Linked DNA regions of Oryctolagus cuniculus. The protein of the gene in region 2 purifies or fractionates together with the protein of the main gene of each other region. This does not show direct contact. Links are inferred from orthologs where the notes say so. Each region holds a gene or a part of one and is shown on either strand. Other genes may lie near its edges. The genes, in order: WAS and PSTPIP1.

Evidence for each region.
Region 1: the proteins of PSTPIP1 (region 2) and WAS purify together in Homo sapiens (affinity purification with western blotting; 3 studies listed by BioGRID and IntAct, with this or other methods). This does not show direct contact. The link is inferred for Oryctolagus cuniculus from reciprocal best matches to the Homo sapiens genes PSTPIP1 and WAS.

Annotation. Positions count from the first base shown.
Region 1 is NC_091453.1:33,878,778-33,881,630, reverse strand, and holds the end of WAS (actin nucleation-promoting factor WAS), read right to left. Parts: coding exon 2,504-2,853; intron 898-2,503; coding exon 870-897; coding exon of another isoform or gene 842-869; 3' UTR 603-841; downstream 1-602. UniProt on the Homo sapiens protein: Effector protein for Rho-type GTPases that regulates actin filament reorganization via its interaction with the Arp2/3 complex. Important for efficient actin polymerization. Possible regulator of lymphocyte and platelet function.
Region 2 is NC_091443.1:107,548,505-107,553,012, reverse strand, and holds the start of PSTPIP1 (proline-serine-threonine phosphatase-interacting protein 1), read right to left. Parts: upstream 3,026-4,508; 5' UTR 3,011-3,025; coding exon 2,795-3,010; intron 2,519-2,794; coding exon 2,418-2,518; intron 2,250-2,417; coding exon 2,175-2,249; intron 1-2,174. UniProt on the Homo sapiens protein: Involved in regulation of the actin cytoskeleton. May regulate WAS actin-bundling activity. Bridges the interaction between ABL1 and PTPN18 leading to ABL1 dephosphorylation.

The DNA.
Region 1 (2,853 bases), on a different chromosome or scaffold from region 2:
AGTAGGGAGATTTGGTCATCAAGTGTGTTCTTGATCTAGTATTGTGCTCACTGAAAGCTTTTTTTTTTTTTAAATAATTAAGCACATGATCACCACACCTGGCCTCACACCAAGTTTGTCTCATCTCAGGGCCTTTGCACTGGCTATCCCAAAAGTTTAGACTGCTTTTTCTCCCAAATATTCTAATGGCCCATCCTCTGTTTTGTTAGGTTCAATACAACTGTCACCTCCTCCAAGTGTCACCTTCCCATTACCATCTGAATGGTGCACCACAGCACTCATCATGGTCTGTAACTCTGCTTGATTTCTATTTGGTTCTTTCTTTCTTGTCTGTTGCCCTAGGAGAGTGATTCCAACCCTATGAGGGCAGCAATTTATTTTTCTGTACTTCTTCCTCATTCCTTCATCCCTAGCCCCTGAAGTAGTGCCTGGAAATAAATATGGAAAGAAATACAGGCAAAATGGCTGAGGACGTAAAAGAACAAATCAATGAATATATCCATGTGAGGCTAAATAAATAAAATGAGATAGATCCACTAAAGGGACTTTGGGGAGAAAGGACCCCTAATTCCCACACTGGAAATGCAATCAAACACATTAGGGAAGACAAAAAGACAATGACTTTATTTTTTACTTAAAAATCCTTGAGTGAAGAGGACTGAGAATTTTTATATATATATAAAAAGGCCCTTGGTATTGGGAGGGTGATTGTGGGGACCAGGCAGGGAGAACAGCAGTCAAGGTAGGGTTCAGGGAAGAAATGGGATTTGGGGGTCTGGGGTGCAGAGTCGGGGCCGGGAGGCAGGGGCAGTAGAGAGCAGAGTAGGGAGTGGGCAGTGACTCAGTCGTCCCACTCGTCGTCTTCATCCTCATCGCCGGCCTGGTCCTCTCCTTCGTCTGAAAGGAGACAAGGATTCAGAGGGAGTTCAGCTTGGGGGGAAAATTCAAAGGCCCTGGAGAGCTGAGGGGGTATTCCTAAGGTCAAGTTAGGGTTTCTGGTTGGGACAAGATAGGCGTTATAGTCGGGAAGTCTGTTCTAGTTGGAGCTGAAATTAATATGGTATTGTTCAAAATATGGTTAGTCTGAGGCCTGGCATTTTAGTTTTGGGGTCTTCTGTTTGTCTGCTTACTACACTTGACCTTAGCCAAAAGGCCAAGAAGTGATTTTTTTTTTTAAGATGTATTTATTTATTTGAAAGGCAGAGAGAGAGCGAGCGAGCGAGCGAGAGCGAACTTCCATCTGCTGGTTCACTCTCCAGATGGCTGCAATGGCCAAAGCCAGGAGCCTGAGACTCCATCTAGGTCTCACACACAGGTGGCAGGGGCCCCAGCACTTGGGCCATCTTCCGTTCCTTTTCCAGGCCATTAATGGGGAGCTGGATCGGCAGTGGAGCAGCTGGGATACAAACCAGAATGATATAGGCTGCTAGTATCACAGGCAGCATATTTATCCATTACCCCACAACTCCGGCCACAGCTGCTCCACTTCTGATCCAGTGCCTGGGAAAGCAGCAGAAGATGGCCCAAGTGCTTGAGCCCCTGCCTCCCACCTGGGAGACCCCAGTGGACTTCCAGGCTCCTGGCTTTGGCCTGGCCCAGTCCCACCTATTGCAGCCATCTGGGGAGTGAACCAGTTGATGGAAGATTCTCTCTCTCTCACTCCCTCCCTCCCTGTAACTCCTTCTCTGTAATTCTGCCTTTCCAATAAAATTTTGAAAAATAACGCTTTAAGAAACATTTCCAAAAAACACGGTTAGTCGGGATATTGTCACACAACAGGTTAATGTTAACCCATTTGTCACTTAAAGGGGCAAGTGTAAATGCTGTTAGTGAAAGTGGGGTAATTTATTTTTGCTTAATGGTGGGTTAATGTTAATCTTTTTAACCCATAATGGAGTTTAATGATAATATTGCCAAATGATGAGGCTGGTTATAATGCTGTCATATAATGGAATCGCGTTAATCTTGTGGACACACTTTGGGGTTAATGTTATTGTCAAAGTTGGAGTTAATTGTATTATTGTCCGGTAATAGGTTAAAATTACTATTATCTTCATATAATGTGTGAAGGATAGTATTGTTGCCACAATAGGAGGTTAATATTAGCATTATTGTAGAAAGATGGAGTTAGCTACTATTATCATGGGTTCATATAAACTGTTGGTACAGGAAGTTAGTGTTAGTGTCGAAGATGGTGCTCTTTAAAATAGGATTGTCACATACTGATGTTAATAGGGCTGAATACAGGACAGCATTAATGCCATGGGCACACCCCTAATGATAATAATAGTTAATATTACATTAATACTATTGTCAAAGGTAAGAGTTATATTATGGTCATATACTGTCTAAATGTTACCACTAAGGAGACTGATCTAAGATTCTTCAATACTGTTACCCACAGACGTATATAATGTTTCTGTTGATGGGGACCGCCTGGGATGTTTGCAGGCCAAGGCTAGCCCTGGCAACCAGGTTCAGGGCCTGGGCCTGACAGGCTCACCGGAAGAGTGGATGGCCCTGCTTCTTTTCTGCATCACGTGCATCAGGGCGCCCACCAGCCCCTCGGAGGTCTGCGGTGGCGGCTGCAGGGCTGAGCTCTCTGGGGCCCCGGGAGTCTGCAGCAAGGAGAGTTTCAGTACTTCTTCCGCCCCTTCTTTGTAATTTTTCCTCCCACACGTCAATCCCTTTCAAGGCTCCCCACCCACCTCCCAAGCTTAGCACTAAACCCCAAGGCCTGGCACCCCCATCAGTCTCAGCCTCCGCCTCCCTGTATGCTGACTTGCACCTGACACCCCGGAGTCCCAGACCCCAGTCCTCCCTTCTGCTGGTCCTCACCTTGTTCAGCTGAAT
Region 2 (4,508 bases):
AGAACACACCTCCCTTGACCTGGGGGCAGCGGGGCCCCTCACTGTGGGCCAGGACAGGCGTCCGCAGGAGGCGAGGACATGGGGACTATGGTCACTGCTCGCACTCCCTGGAGAGGGGCCCCAGGTTGGACCAGGACCTGGTCTCTGCCGGAGAGAGGGTGGTCCCGGAGGCCGTGCTGACGGGGGAGAACCCCCTCACCGTGCTGGACTCCTGCTCCACAAGGGGACCCTTGAATCTGTGTTTAACTCCTGGATTCCTCCCCCCGCCCCCAACACACACACCCCGGTCCAGGACACGGCACACAGTCGGCGCTGCGTAAGTGCTCGCGGACTCCATGGGCAAACAGTGCCTGCCTGGCCCACAGGTGAAGAACGGGAAGGGTACGTGGCCTCACAGCAGCACTTACAGAGCACCGACTGTGTGCAGTTAGCTGAGCTGGGGCCCCTGGGGGGGAGCTGCGGGGGGCTCAGCTCCCGCACTGTCAGTGGACCCTGGGCTTGCCCTCCTCCTATGGCAGGAGCACCCCCAGACCCTGCCTCCCCCAGAAGTGCCTCCCCCACCCTGCTCCGCCCTTGCACCTGCTCCTCTGGCCGCCCAGTGCAGATTTCCCCACACCTCTCCCCACCTGCCCTGAGGCCTTGGGGGCTGGGCTGAGGGGCCGCTCAGGTTCTGATGCTATGGCCGAGCCCCCGCACCTGGCACCCCCAGCCCAGGCTCCAGTCCCCTCCCTGCCTGGGTGCAGCCTCTGGATTAAAGCCCCACCCCCTACTCCCAGCCTCCAACTCCCTGTGCCACTTCCCCCAGTCCCAAAGCAAATGGCCAGGGTGCCCAGCCAGGCCCCCAGCCACACACCAGGAGGTGGGGTCTGTGAGCCGTGAGGACCCCATGCCTGCGAGGTGGGGTCTGTGACTGCCTGGAGCAGCCCGTCCCAGGCAGGGACCCAGATCTCGGAGAGGGTGTGACCACCCCAGGGCCACCCAGTAATGAGTCAGCGCAGACCCTGCCCCAGGCAAGCCCACGGCCTCCACACTTTAGAAACGGTCCTGAGCCCCTTTGCAGCTCCTGCCCCCACCCCCCGGGTCTCTGAGCGACCTCAAGCCTCCGTGCCACCGTCCCTGGTGACTCACGGCCCCCTGGGGAACTCTCCCGGGCCGCCTCCGCAGTCCCCCGCCTCCCCTCCCACGGGCCCACCCCCTTTTTCCAGGAAAGTCCATGTTCCCCAGCTGGCCTGGGAGGCACAGGCAGCAGGGATCCCACACACCCCTCCCCCAGCCAGGTCCCACAGGCCTTCCTGCCCCGCTCTGCACCCTAAGGGAGCCACAGGGCAGCCCGCTGAAGCGGGCAGATGAGCACCGACTCAGAGAGGTGGAGCGTCTTGCCCAGAGCCACACAGCACGGCCCCTCTGGGCACTGGACAGGAGTCTCCCCTGGCTCATGCAGCTTTAAATCTCCCACCAGCCCTTCCGTCTCTGTTCCGGCTCCTAGTGGGGCCCACCAGGGTCCCTGTCTCGAAACAGGGTCGTACGCTTGGGTCTGTCTCTTGGGCGTGGCCAGGCACGTCGCAGGCCTGACCACCAGGGAAGCAGGGGTGAGGGACGGGGTTGCTACGGCAGCTGCTGGCCCCTGGGCAGGGGGAGAAGTTGGGGCGCCCAGCTGGCCCTCGCCCAGGAGCACCTGCGCCTTCCAGGAGCAGCCCCAGGCCAGGACGACCCCTTCCCGCTGAGGTCAGCCGCTCCGGGCCCTGTCCCGCAGGCTGTGGGGGCCTCGGACCACAGGGAGGCCCAGCAGCTTCAGACAGCCCTGCCCCCACCCCGAGCCACACCCACATGGCCCCCGAGGAGGGGCTGCAGTATTGCTCCATCACAGTGTGCGTGGCCAGCCCAGGTCACACAGCAGGCGTGCGGAGAGCTGGCACGGGAGCCAGTGTGTCCCCAGCCCCGAGTCCTGGCCGCACATCCACCCTGGGAGCCCGGCCGAGCCCGTAGAGGGCTGGCGCCTGCCTCTCAGGACTGGGGCTGCACACGCAGGCGCCCAGGGATCAGGGCCCTCCAGCCTCCAGTCCCTTGGGGCTTCTTCCCTGCACACGGTGCTCCAAGGAGGGTCCCCTGCCCCAGGAGGCCCTGCGCCCGGTCTGAGGCCCAGGACGGCCAGCGAGGGCTGCGGGAGCGCTCACTTGATCTCCGTCTGTCCGCCGGCCTTCCGTGCGATCTGCACCAGCTCCTTGCCGTAACGCTCCTCCGCCTGGGCCCTGCAAAAGCCAAGCACGTGCCGTCGGGCCCCCAGGACGCCAGCCGCCAGCGCCCCACCCCTGGGGCCTGGAAACAACCGTGGGCCAAACCCAGGCAGCGGTGCAGGGCGGCCTCACCCTGGCTTCTGTGAAGCAGGGGTGTGGGGGCGCCTCGCTCCCCCCGCTCACCTCTGCCGCAGCAGCTCCTCCACGTCCTTGCACATCTTCCTGCCGTCCAGCAGCCGCTGCAGTAGCACCTCGTAGCCCGTGTGCGCCGTGAAGTCCCTGCACTGACACAGGGCAGGGCGGGGGCGCAGTGAGGCCCGGAAGGCCCCCCACTCTCCCCACATCGCCCCGCTGAGACGACCAGGTGGCATCAGGACCTAGAGAGGCTCAGGAGCACAGTGAGCGGGGCCGCTGTGCCTGGGGACACGGCCCGGCCCGGGAGACCTCAGCTCCACCTGCAAATCCACCCCCCCAGGGGGTGCCTGGCACGGCCCGGATGCCCCCCCCCCCAGCTCCATAGCCCTGTTGACTTGGCTGAGCCGCAGGGAAGCAGCCCTTACCTGGGGAGACCCAGCCTGGAAAAGCCAAGGCCCGACCTTGAAGCCAGGCCGGGGAGCTGGCACCAGCGGGCTGGCCCCTGGGCGGCTCACGTGAGCCTGACTGCATGTTGCGGCTCGTGCCAGCCCCCTGCGCCTGCCAGGTGAGGCGCGCACGCTGAGCGCCTGAGTCCATGTTCTCCGTGGGCGGGGTGGGGCAGGGCGGGCGTTTGGATGCATCGCGATGAGGAGGGAGCAGCTGTGGCCACCCAGCACCTGTGACAACCCAGCACCTGCAGGCAGCCTGGGGCTGATCTGCTGTTGCTGGAAACTGTCCCAGGCCTGGGCAGAGGGTCCTCCTAGCTCCCCTGGTGCAGCCCAGGCAGCCCGTCCCAGGGACCGGCCATGGATCCTGGACGCTGGCTGGGTGCCGGGCAGGGCAACTGTGGCACCTGTTGCCCATCTTACTGTGGCCGCCGGATCCCAACCCCATTCCCAAAGCGGGGCTCTCGCAACCCCACGCCCTTTCCTGCTTCACCGTCAAAACCTGGCGCTCCGGCCTCCACCCAGCACTGGCCCCTCGAATTACGGGCCTCTGGGGAGCAGGCCACAGAGCCAGAGTCCAGGGGAGCTTCCTGCAGGAGGCGGCACTGGGAGGCGCAGACGGGGACAGGGGAGCAGTCATGGTGCAGAGGGTCCCACCGGCCCCTCCGGCCAGGCCAGACCCACCCTCAGCAACTCAGGACCTCAAGCTCTTGTCCCCTCCGAAAGCATCCCCAGAAATTCCTGGGGGGGGGGGGCCTGGCTGGGGCTCAGCTGCCTGCAGGGCGACAAGAGGTTCCTGGGCCTGTCCTAGAGCCAGTGTCCACCCCCCACCCCGTCCAGGCTGGGCCGGCTTCCCTGGGCGGGCCACAGCCTCCCATGCTCAGCCCCTGCCCTGCCTCCGGCCCCCCGGGTCAGAGCCTGTGGCAGCCGGCGAGAAAGAGCCACAGACCTGCCTGCTCCCTCCCGCGAGGGCTCCTCCGGACCTGGGCATCCAGCTCAGAATCCCCCTGACCGGACAGCTGGGCAGCGTTGGTGCAGGGCCCCTCAGTCCTGGGGAAACTGAGGCCCAGAGAAGGGCAGGGGTGGCCCCAGCAAGATCTGCTCTTCCTGCTCCGAGTCCTCTCCCCTCCCGGCCACACCCGGCCCAGCCCTCCAGGGAGACCCCCAAAGTGGGAAGAAGCCAGAGCAAACCTACAGCGGCCATTCTGCTGGGGCCCTGCAGGCAGGCCCTGGGGTCCCCAGGAGCACGCAGCCTGCAGCCTGCAGGATCCTGGTGTGCAGCCGATGAGCCACGGTCACAAGTGACCAGGCTGTTCGGAGGAAGTGCCTGCCCACCCCCGGCCCCGCCCCGCACCTCCTCCACCACCCCCGCCCCTTACCCAGCCACCTCTGACTCTGCTCCGAGCTCAGTGCGCTGGGAGATTCTAGCCTGGCGATCGTGGGCAGGTGCACTGCACCTGGGCCCTGCCCCAGCCGCCACCCGGCACCCTCGGCCTCTGTCACGGGAACCCGGCTGTGACACCCATGGAGACACCCACTGCCCCCCCCCCCAGCACAGCGGCCGCAGAGCCAGGAGCAGAGGTGGTGACCAGGAGGAAGCTCTGGGCCGCTCTCTGGCCTGGTCCAGCACGTGGGAGACCCACAGCGGGTTCCCGGCCCGGGCGGGGAGTGCGCCCAGAGATGGGAGCCCTGG